Linked DNA regions of Caenorhabditis elegans. The protein of the gene in region 2 purifies or fractionates together with the protein of the main gene of each other region. This does not show direct contact. Each region holds a gene or a part of one and is shown on either strand. Other genes may lie near its edges. The genes, in order: sup-46 and M28.9.

Region 1 (5,537 bases), on a different chromosome or scaffold from region 2:
TAAATTACAAACGGGCGCGCGCCTTTAAGTGAGTACTGTTTTAACGGATATATCTAAAATTTTGAAACTACAGTACTCTTTGAGGCGCACACCCGTTTGTATTTAACAAAAAATTGTCGTGACGAGACCAGGAACGGTATTTTTGGTGCCAAAATTTTTTATTGCCGGTTTTGAAATAAAAACAATTAATTTTTAAAAAAATTGATATAACAGTACTCGTTATAAAGCAGAATTCAGAATCCTTCTCCAAAAGCCTCAAGGTACCGTAATCCAGAGAAAGGCGTCAAAAATGAAAACATAGACAAACGAAAGAAAGTTGTGAGCATACAAATAGACACACACAATGCTCATCATCGTTTTCTCAGCAACAAAGGATTCTTCATGGGCGTGACTATCTTTTGCTCATGAAGGAGAGAGACGTCTTCAAAACGCAATTAAGGGCATACGGTAAAACGTTTGAGCAGCAGTTGTCGCGCGCAAATCAGATTGCGTGAAGCTCTTGTTTGATGCGGGACACACATGCTAAATTGTCTTCTGAATAGCACCTCAAATTGTGCGGCGCTCATCTGAAGACACACTTGTCACGTCATTTATTATTAAAACTTTTATTTGTCACCATCCTGCCAGAGGAAAATATGAGAAATAGTTTTAGAGTGATGAAAATGAGGAAGATGTTTTAAATTATTGAGATTCCGTTGACAAGGAAGCCTTTTTAAAGGGATAAGGAAGGATAGAGATGGAGAAAAAACGGATAAAATAAAGATAATAGATGATGATTCAAGAGAAACGTGAGAAGTTTCAAATACAAATATAACAGGGGGAATGAATTAGGCGTAGTCAACGCTGATCATGCGGCCTTCGACAGTGGATCCATAGAGGGCAGCACGAGCACGTTCAGCGTCTTGGAAAGTTGCAAAACGAATGCGAGCAGCTCCTGGCGCCATCATATCAACAGAGTCGACTTCTCCGAAGTTTCGAACACGGTCACGGACAATTTGCCAGGTATAATCGCTTGGAAGCTGAATAACAGATCATAAATGAGAACAAATTGAAATTTGAATTGAAAACTTACGTTGCGAATGATAATAACCCTTGTTGCCTGGGGTGTCGCAGCACCGGCGAGTCCACCAGCTCCATTGACACCAAAGACGTCAGGTTGAGCAAATGTGGCTCCACCAGCACCACCAACACCAGCATTTCCTCCAAATGGTCCATTGTTCATGACGGATCGGGCAAAGTTGGCTTGTTCAACGACTCCTCCAAAACCACCAGCCGAAACAACTTGTGGTCCACCTACGAATGGGGCAGCTGGAGCTGTGAACTGAAATATAGATAATTAAATTAACTTTTAAAAATTTTATAATTGAGTATTTGTTATCAAGAGTTTCATCGAACATTTTTTGTGCTTTTTTCAGAGAAAGTTCCGTTTGTTCTGAAAATCGAAAAACATGTTTAGCAAATTGGAATATAAAAACCCATTTTTGTATTAAGTTTTCAGATTGTTGATGGGGAAAAACATAAGAAAACATATCGTTTTCTTATAAAAGGCCATTTTTCGAAAAATCAAAATGTTGGAAACCCGAAAATTTCTGTTTAAAAAAAATTAATTTTTCGATTTAAAAAAATCTAAAACCACCATTGAATGCTAGTATATACCACACCGATGAAATTTGTTTTAAATCGCTTACCGGCACTGAAGCATCTCCTGGGAACATTCCATGAACATTGGAAAGTGGTGCTCCTTCTGCTCCAAGACCCATTCCGATTGACTCAAGACCTCGTGGAAGTCCACCTTCTTTGTGCTCCAGTTCCTTATCGAATCTATCCATTTTCACAACCAGATTTCGATCAAAAAGTCGCTGACCATTGAGCATCGAAACGGCTTGTACGGCTTCAATTGGGTGAGTGTATTGAATTACGCATACTCCCTGGAAGACACCATTTATATTTTATAGGAACTATAAATATTAACAAACCTTTGACTTTCCTTCTTTATCAATGCGGAAGTCCATCCAGGTGATTTTACCGGCCATACCGAAGACTTCGTAAAGCTTATCGGTTCCGACATTGAAAGCCAACTGAAAATGTTTGATTAATAATATTGTCTTGGAAACAGAAGTGGAATTTCGGAAATTCTATAAAATGACATATTTCGCCATGTTAAATATAGAAAATCACTTTTTTAAATCTGAAAATAACACTTATTTCAGATAAAACACTTGGAAAAGCGCTTCAAAAATACCAGGATGTTGCAAATTGCCGATCATCAAATTGTTGAATTATCGTTTCTCGGCAAATGGCAACTTTTGGTCATTTTCGCGCACTTTTCCAAATGTTTAAAACGAGATAATTTTTTTTTAATTTTCAGATAAATCAAGTGATTATCTACATTTTCAGACTAATTTTTGATGAAAACTTTTGAAAAAAACATGTCGCAATAGGTCATTTTGTAGCATTTCCGAAAATAATTGCCAACCACCTCTGATTGGGAACTAAGAATGGTATTTAGTAACTGAATTAGTGATGCTATATTTTATTCGTATGATACTGAGAGATCTACCCGGAGGATGCAACTGTCTGAACAAACTATAATAAGCACTGATTCCATTTTGTTGTATATAATTCCACGTAGAAAGCTTCCTACTACTATTCCGTTTAAAAACACCAAAATGAAAAATTGCATTTATTTCTCCCATTCGAATAATTTCATATCTCAAAACTGAGATAAAGACCCAGCAAGTGAACGTGGTCTAGATGTGGAGCCCTTCGAGAAGAAGAATATTTGAAACCTACATTGGCGATGAAGATGCGCTCACAGAGTGGCGGTTCAATGTTGTGTTGGCGAAGGAATTCCATATTGAGACCGAATAAATCATAAGTTCCAGTTCGAGTAGGGCGATCAAGATCTTTTGGTGGAGGACCTCGTCCTCCTGCACCACCACCTCCGGTACGAGACAAGTAATCAATGCCTGTTTCAGTTTTGATGGTTCGGAAGAAAGCATTCGGATCCTACAGAAAAAATAAAAAATGGATGAAAATTTCTGAATGTGAGTGTCAAAATTAAATAGATACGGACCCGAATTTCTTTGGCGATGATGGTTCTTCCCTTCCAGTCGAACTTTTGTAGATTCTCAACGCATTTTTCGGCACCCTCACGAGTTTCGAACTCAACCACAGCGTTACCCTTTGGCTTGCCGTTACGGTCTTCGAGCAACTCGCAGAAAGCGACTTCACCTCCTTTCTCGCGAACTAGACTTTTCAAATCGACCCAACGAGCCTCATAGGCGATATTGGTGATAAAAACCATTCGGTTGTTCGATGATGAGTTCCCATTGTTACTTCCAACAGCAGCGCCGATACGACCTTAAGGAAATGGAAAATAGAGAAGGATTTCTATGGAAAAAATGGTGGAAACGGGAATGAAGAATATCAAAAACTATACTTCTTCTTGGACTTCTGGATCGGCTCCGACGCTCTCGCTTAACATCACGCTGTGGTCCGTCTCGACGATTTCTGTTCATGTTGGCTGATGGAACACGGATCTTGGATTAAGCTTTCTGAATGAGTTGAACTAGAATCAATTAGACGATAAGCAAATGTTTTCATATAACAACGGGCTTCTTTAAAAAACAATTGAAATTTTATTTCCATTTTGATTGCTAACAAGTCGAAAATTAATTGTAACTAAAATAATCTGCTCGCTGAGTGGCCCATTTTTATTGTTGAAAGAGATAAAAGATTATTTACTGAACTGTCTCGCCAATGTAATACTTGATTTGACATCGAATTGAAAAACTATGTTACAACAATGATCGAAAACTTATGCACAGATGAGTAAAAAGTTTTGTGATCGCACCTTATTTGCTTCTTTACTTACAAATAGGCCACTCGAGCAAAATTTGACTTGATATCTTACAGAAAGACTAGAATGCTCTAAACTCTCTTAAAATTCCCGAACCGAAAATTAAGTTTTCAAAAAGAGGAACAATTTCGAAATTTATCTATCGGAGCAATTCTCTGAAACATCTTGGAGATTTTCCGACTGATAATGCATATTTAAGCCGCGAGAACCATTTAGCAAATTTTAAAACAAAAAAACGTTTGATTTAACGAAGAAAATAAAGAAAAATAAATACGATAAAAGAGAGAAAAATCGAAATTCGAAAAGAAGAGACGGCGGCAAACACAAGTGTGCATTTGTGCGTCGAGACGAGCCGCACAGCCGACATCAGATTTGACGCCACAAATCGCCGCGAAAAGTGAAGGCTTTTTCTTTGCTGCTAAGCCAGTATTCTGGATCTTTTACGATTTTTTTTTCATTTTCGATAGCATGGTTCTGTGAAACAAGATCTCTGTTCTCTTTGAAACACTCTATTCTATAATTTATTTTATTCTTCAATTGTTTCTTCCATGTTTCCCTAAAAATAATTTTGTTCGTTAATTGTCAATAGGATTTTTATGAACTGAATTCAGTGTCAAATTTCGGAGAAAGAATAGAAAACGTTTTTTGTGAGATAAGCTGCCTCTCGTTTTGTTTTGCCTCCGCATGACAGATTTATTCTCAATTTCACACTAAAAATTATTAATAATTGTACAATTTAGTTTTGCTTCAAGTTCTATAACAACGCGTTTTTGTTTTTTTTTCACAATTCATGCGCTAGCTGTCCAAAAATATTCAAAATGTTTATAGAATAGGTGATTCAACACCAACATTTCAAACTATCGTTCACAAGTCACATTCCAAATGACTAACGTCCATATAAAGTTTCTGATATTGCTCCAATCGTCCCAAATGTCTTATCATATACACTTCATGACGTGTTTTCCCTATTCTTTCTCTTTTCCCGCCGATGACCATGTCTCTCCCTTCTATTCCTCTAGGTTTCACCATACGAATATCAAATCGTATATACATTTAAAAGCCGACGCCTTCTACCATGTCGAACAGTAATCGCATGGAACTAGTTAGTCTTTTCCCAATCGCCGTCATTTCCCTCACTTTTATTCCTTACACTAGATTTTATTATTGATAGAACTGAAATCTTGGTCTTATGTTAACGACAAAAATCGTGCCTCGTTTCATTTTAAATGCAAAACTACCTGCCGTTTATTGCCGCCGTCAAGAGAACAATTCGCACTAGGTTGAGAAGGGCAAAGGTCTTTTATGACCTTTTACGCCCGGGAAGTGAGAAATACCAGAAATCACCTTTTATTTCGATCTATAACTCGAACTTTTAATTTTTCATCTTTAACCAGTGTAGGTTTATTTATTGAATAGATTTGTGTTCCACTCATCTCTTCGGTCAACAGATTTGTTTTCCCCCTGTTTCAAATTTAGCGTGAAGTTTCTACAACAAGACATCGAAATTCCAATTTTATTTCAGTCATATGATTATATATGTTTATGAAAATAGACCTAGTGCCCTGATTGAGAAGACTATATGTTTGTTTTGCTATTGTTTCTATTGTATTTTGCTCGGAAACGTTCTAGATGTCTACAAAGTACAACTATAGTGACTGTAGTTTCGGTTTGCAAA
Region 2 (6,311 bases):
AGGAAGAGCTCCCTCGTGAAACCCGGACTGAGCTTGCCAGACTGCGCTGTGGCCACTCAAGATTATGTGGTTCTTACGTTGCCAGAATTGAAAACAGAAGCATTTCCCCTTGCAGGAAATGTGGAAGTGTGGAGGGTGGCGTGAATCACCTTTTGACCTGCATCTCCTCGGTCCCTCTGCTCCCAAAGGACCTGTGGGAGAAGCCGGTGGAAGTGGCCGAGGCCCTGGGCCTCTCCACGACCCCCTTCGACCCCGGAGGAAACGGAACCACCCCTCCATAAAACACGGACCAAGGATTTTTGAATTTGCACAACAACAACAGGAGCACCCATCGCCTAATTTTGCTAAATTCAATACTTATGAGGTATTTTAAATAATGATTTACTTTAAAACGAAATTCCTACACTATCAAAAACTTTTTAGTTTTTTAGATTGCGAAGAAACTTTTGAATGATAACGCTGAACAAGCCAAATCTGCGAATCTGGCTATCTGTGACAACAATAATTTAGATCAAACGTTTATTGCATACTCGGAATCTCTTTCCATGTCCCACTTACTTTCCCAGCAATTTGTCAAAAAATTAGAGACTCTGGCAGAAAATGCTCCGAAAACGGTGGGTACAAATGCGTTTCAACTTTATGAGCACTTGTGTTTCAGCCATCGATTGCAAAAGATCTGAATAAAACTTATTTCACTAAAACGGAAGCAATTTTGAAACAGGCTGTTACCAAGCTTTTTGTGGGTTGATGATTTCATTTATGCAATTTATTTAATCAGTAAATAATTTTCAGAAAGCCCTGCAAGATGATATTTTCAAGTGTCGCCCGTTAGTAGATGTCTACAATAATGCAGGGATTTCAGTTTGCGAGCAATTTGGATTACCAGTTCATGGAATGTGGGCATCGGTTGGCTTGGGTGGTGTTGTGCTATTCTTCCAAATAATTTTATTGCTTCTTACTTTTCGTTGGTTGAGAACTCATAGCAAGAATACTGTTGGCAAGAATGGAAAAAGTGATAAGGTTCGTTTTTTTTCAAATTTTGGCAATTACCGGAAGCTGTTTCAATTGTAACACTAAATACCATAGATTATTGTATATTTTCTTATGTTGATAGCGATAGTCTACATAGCTTGACTGCTCAATAATCTTGCACTCCATATTGTTTATTGGTTGAACCCGAATACAACCAAAATACGAGAAATCAAATCTTTAACACCATGAAGCTAAATTATTGAATAGTTCCTGAATCTGTTTTGAAACCTTAACTTTAGGTTTGCCAGAACCGCGCCCGTCAGTTAAAATATTTCTGAAAATTATAAAGCAAAACACTAATTCTTTACAGACGGGGACATCAGGCTCAATGGAAAAGGCTGGCTCGAAAGAAAAAGACAAAAAGAAAAAGAAGAAAAAAGATAAGGCAAATCCGACTGACAAGTGATTGCCACTCCCGAATTCAAAATATTATAGCTATTATTTCAGAGGATCCGTCGAAAAAACTAAATCGAAAGAATCCGATGGAGATCCTAATAAAGATGTTACGCCAGATAAGATTCCCGGAAACAATAAAAAAGGGAGCACACTCGACATCGAGCCGATCTGGTGAATTTTAATGTCCAGTATGAATAAACGATGCTTTTTTTTTGAAATTAATTTTAATAAGATTTGAAAAATAATTAACGTGATAAACAGAAATCATGAAATGTGTGATTTTTTTGTTCCCGTGAGAAAAAAAATCACATGTAAGAATTCAACAGTTTTCAATCATTAATCGATCTTATTCGACTTCGAACAAGTTTCCTTATCATTATCCCAGCATTTTCATCAGAAGGTAAGTGGTTGTTGCAGATGGTTTTCAGATACGGGTTTAGCGCCGTACTATCTACACACAGTAATGCTTTGCTGCCTTTAAATTAAGAATACTGTATTACTACAAAGCACTGTAAACTGCAAGCTATGGCTTATGAATTGGATTCCCGAATTATAAAAGGACACTAAATAGGTTGAAACCCGAACCATCTGAAAGGCAGAGCACAAATAAATCAGTCAAAAAAACGTACAGCTTCAAGTCGACAAATCTCATGAAATTCCAGATCGCGATTGATTGGAAAATGAAACTTCGTTTGTTTGTTGGCTTCATAGCCCTGATCTCGATTGCTTTTTGTGCTAAAAGTCCGAAGCCTCAAGCATCAGGACCAGCACCAGCTCAATGTCCAAAGTCTTCTGTGGAAGTTAAACCGATGAAACCTGAACTAACAGGATCTGTCGGATTTTATGGAACTGGCAAAGGAATTTCAGATAGTCTGCAGAAAACTCCAGATTCGAAGTCTTATGAGGTAAGGGGGGGCTTTCTTGTGCCACTATCATCATAATGTTATTTCAGGATTTGAATAACCTAATTAGTGGAAAAGAATCCTACGGGGAAACCCTTAAAAGTATGATTCTGAGCCAAGTCACTGCAATCGTCTTCTGGAGTGTTGGAATCGTTTTGATCATTATTGCAGCTGCACTTTGCATCGTAACTTGCATTTGGCAGTGTTGTTCTACGTGTGCTCCCAGAGAATCTGTAAGGACTTCAAATTTACTTGCATCTTCAATTCATAATAATTCTAGGCGGTCCGCTCTGAATACACTGGAATGGTATACCTTGCTCTGTTGGCTACCACTCTTGCGTTCACCCTAGCAGGTGTTATAATTTTCAATCTCGCGGAGACTGACTTTGTCGATACTGTTGATAATGGAGTGAAGTACGCCAATCAGCTCACCTCAGGTAACATACATTCAAAAGACCTCGTGGAGCTTGAAAATCAGTAGATTCTTTCTGACAGATCATTTAAACTTGTATCACATTCCACGTTAATTTTTCAATTATTCAGACATGTCGAATGTTTTTTCGAATGGAAAAAATCAGTTGACATGCGAAGTGAAATCTTCAACATCACAAGCATTCGCTGAAATCCGATCGTTTATAAGGAACTATGAAAGAGATGTGACTGATAAAGCTGCGACACAAGTTGGATTAACTGCTGTCAACAAGGTTAGACGATTCGAGTCAGCTATATGATTTTTCATTATAATACTTTTCAGTTCGATGTTGATGCATTCGTAAAGAGTACTAGTGATACCGTTGAAAAGGGAGAGAAGTTGAACGCTGCACTTGCTAATATTAATAATCCTTCTTCGGAATGTAAAACGAGTGCCAACGAGTTGAAAGCTAGAGTTTCAGCAATGGGTATAGCCTTAAAAGTGAGAGTTTCCTTCGATTTTGGGGAATTTTGATCAAGACTATTGAAATGCTTTCGAGTATATCAACAAACATTCAAAGATTTCTGGAATTTATATCAGCAAACACTACCTTCCGCAGTGCTACATTTTCTGAACAGTTCCATCACTGAATACAGCTGCTATGAAAGACTTTTTCCTTATTTTTTAAACGGAATTGTTTCCAATCTAGTTTCACCATTTCAACTTCAGGGTCTATCAACCGCTGCAGACACAGTGATGGGGTCGAGCGAATTGGACAGTGTTAACAAAATGGTCGATGTGATTAAAGCTGAGGTTTGTAGTAATTTTGTGATTCAAGAACTAAGTTATTTTTAATTTAAGATTAAATCTCAATCTAGAGGTGCTGGTAGTGTCATTGATAGTGCTCAGAAATCAATCGACGACACTACGAATTCAATTGTAGAATTTCTGGATCAGGTTCAACACCAAGTTGAAGAAATAAAGAAGTCAATTCCTAAATATCACGAGCAAATTGCTGGCGTGAGTGAAGAAACGAATAAATTTTTAAACAGAAAATTGTATAATTTCAGTACAATTCCTTCAGTACGGTGCTTGGAATTCGTCTTGGTATCATTATTCCGGCCGCCATGGGATGTATCTATTGCATCGTTGCAATTGTCGCTGTGATTCTTTCGTTGATAAAACAGGACGGTAAGATTGATGGACACCAGTAAAAAGGATCAGTTTTAATATTTAGGTGTGGCACTGAAGCTCTCTAGATTTGTCATCGATGGCTTTTTCTCCTCAATCACTGGCTCCATTACACTTCTAGGATTTGCAATGTTTGCATTTGCATTGGGATTAGTGGTGTCATCGATATGTGTTCCAGTTTTTGAAGATGATAACTACACTTTGTTCCGTCAAATGAATGTTCCGATGCCTGCAGCTGACAATAAGACTAAAACATCCATCAACATTGAGTGAGAAATTTAAATATACAGTTTTGGCAGTTGATTTTTTGTCCAAGTCACTGAAAAAGTGGGTTGATACCAATAATTTTTTCAAATTTCTAAAAGAGTGGAAAAGATCCTTTTTCCAGTCAGTTACTTGAGTCTTGCAACAATCCAAGCATGACCTTGTACAAAGCGATTGATGGAAAAAAGTTGATATCTGAGGAGGCTATGAACAAACAGATTAACCTGAATAAGTACCGAGACATGGCTGATAAGAAGATCAGTGAGCAACCAAAATCGGATTTTAAGCTTCCTCAAGCAACGAATTATAAGGTATTTTCATTCATAAATTACACATTCATCATGATGGGGTAGTTTCCAATTAGAAATAAAAATTACAGAACCATATGAAAGCTGTGAACGATAACGCTAAAAAAGCACAATCAGCGGATTTGTCAAAGTGTAAAGACGCTGATTTGAATAAACAGTTCAAGGAATATGCTGCTTCTCTCAAAAAATCTCAAGCACTTTCCAAGCAGTTTATAGACAACTTGGCAAAACTGGCAGAAAACGCACCAAAGACGGTGTGTTTAGGTTTTTTCTAGATTTTCGGAAACTTTTATGTTTCAGTCTACAATTGTAAAGGATCTCAACAAGAATTATTTCACTAAAAAGGAAGCGGTTTTGAAACAGGCAGTGACCAAGCTTTTGGTAGGTTTTTCTTGACAGTTGTCTTAATCAGTAATTCATTTTCAGAAAGCTCTGCAAGATGATATTTTCAAGTGCCGTCCGTTAGTAGATATCTACAATAATGCAGGTGTGCTGGTTTGTGAGCAAGTTGGATTGCCAATTCATGGATTGTGGGCTTCAATTGGTTTGGGTGGAGTCGCAATGTTCTTCCAGATTATTGTATTGCTTCTCACTTTCCGTTGGTTGAGTACTCATAGCAAGAAGAGTGCTGGGAAAAGTGATAAGGTTCGTTATTCATTCAGCTCTAAGACTTAAAGTTGGGAGCTTATAAGTGAATACTCCATCTGTATTTCGTTAAAAATGTTTTACTTATGAGACCTCTAGAACTATCACTATAGTGAGCATAATCTAGAAATTCAAACATAGCTTTTTACAGATGTTAAAGTCAAAGGAGTCGAAAGAAAAAGAAGAGAAGAGCGAGAACAAGGACAAGAAAAAGAAAAAGAAGAAGTCGAAGAAGGACAAGGAAGAGTGAGTAAACTTGCATACTAGCCAGATTATTATAATCGACTTTTCAGAGAAGGCTCTGCCGAAAAAGCTGATGGAGATGCTAACAAGAATCCTCAAGATCCTGCTGCACCAGGTGAAATTGGAAGAAATGGATCAGCTGAAGCAGGGTCTCAACCGACATCAGTAGAGGGTAAATCTGATGCAGCTGAAGGTGCTTCTCCAATGGCCCCAGGAAACGGAAAGAAAAGCGCCGTGAACACGCTTGACGTTGAGCCAAAATCGTAGAACTTTTTCCTTATTATTGATCGATATGAATGAATGATTCACTTCTCTGATTTTGTCTTTTTGTAGGCACATAAGCTTTTTCAATAGATGCTCTTGCTACAGCTATATATTTTCCTTTCTACAAGCAATCTATACCGTACTAGACGGAGGAACTCCCGCAGTCGGATCCCAACCAAAACTTGGCTCTCCAATAAAAAAGTAATTGGAAATTTTAAAATTTTCACGTGTTACACAGAGACGACCTTATGAGCAACAAGCTATAGCTTGTATACAACGTAAATCTTAGTTTTTTCCACGAATCAGTATCAACTTATTTCTTTATTTCTTCGTTTTGCAAATCCATATTGTATTCAACGAGTGGAATAACAATGAAACATTGCTTCATGATAATTGGTATTTTCGTTTTCAACGTCTCAGCTCAAACACTTCAACCACAAGAAACATGCGGTCAGCCAGCACTGAAGATCAAGGCTATCCATCCAGAATTCGGAAGTGCCACTGGATTTTATGGAATAGCGAAAGGAATGTCGGACGGAGTGCACACAAATCCAAATTCTAAATCGTATGAGGTAAGTCAGAGATCGAAAATTTTTTGATAATTTCAATATTTTTTAGAATCTGAACAAGTGGCTCTTTGAAAACGGAACTGTA

Evidence for each region.
Region 1: the proteins of M28.9 (region 2) and sup-46 fractionate together in Caenorhabditis elegans (co-fractionation; one large-scale study listed by BioGRID). This does not show direct contact.

Annotation. Positions count from the first base shown.
Region 1 is NC_003279.8:10,169,047-10,174,583, forward strand, and holds sup-46 (RRM domain-containing protein), read right to left. Parts: upstream 3,558-5,537; 5' UTR 3,522-3,557; coding exon 3,443-3,521; intron 3,364-3,442; coding exon 3,077-3,363; intron 3,010-3,076; coding exon 2,794-3,009; intron 2,079-2,793; coding exon 1,977-2,078; intron 1,929-1,976; coding exon 1,689-1,928; intron 1,322-1,688; coding exon 1,073-1,321; intron 1,020-1,072; coding exon 828-1,019; 3' UTR 593-827; downstream 1-592.
Region 2 is NC_003280.10:10,637,675-10,643,985, forward strand, and holds M28.9 (Prominin-like protein), read left to right. Parts: upstream 1-1,735; 5' UTR 1,736-1,828; intron 1,829-2,090; 5' UTR 2,091-2,108; coding exon 2,109-2,333; intron 2,334-2,380; coding exon 2,381-2,563; intron 2,564-2,610; coding exon 2,611-2,767; intron 2,768-2,873; coding exon 2,874-3,034; intron 3,035-3,084; coding exon 3,085-3,243; intron 3,244-3,471; coding exon 3,472-3,555; intron 3,556-3,603; coding exon 3,604-3,762; intron 3,763-3,812; coding exon 3,813-3,933; intron 3,934-3,979; coding exon 3,980-4,202; intron 4,203-4,321; coding exon 4,322-4,508; intron 4,509-4,576; coding exon 4,577-4,759; intron 4,760-4,805; coding exon 4,806-4,886; intron 4,887-4,931; coding exon 4,932-5,150; intron 5,151-5,301; coding exon 5,302-5,396; intron 5,397-5,443; coding exon 5,444-5,660; 3' UTR 5,661-5,705; downstream 5,706-6,311. Other genes in the region: M28.4 (Protein tweety homolog), read left to right, coding at 6,029-6,229, 6,276-6,311.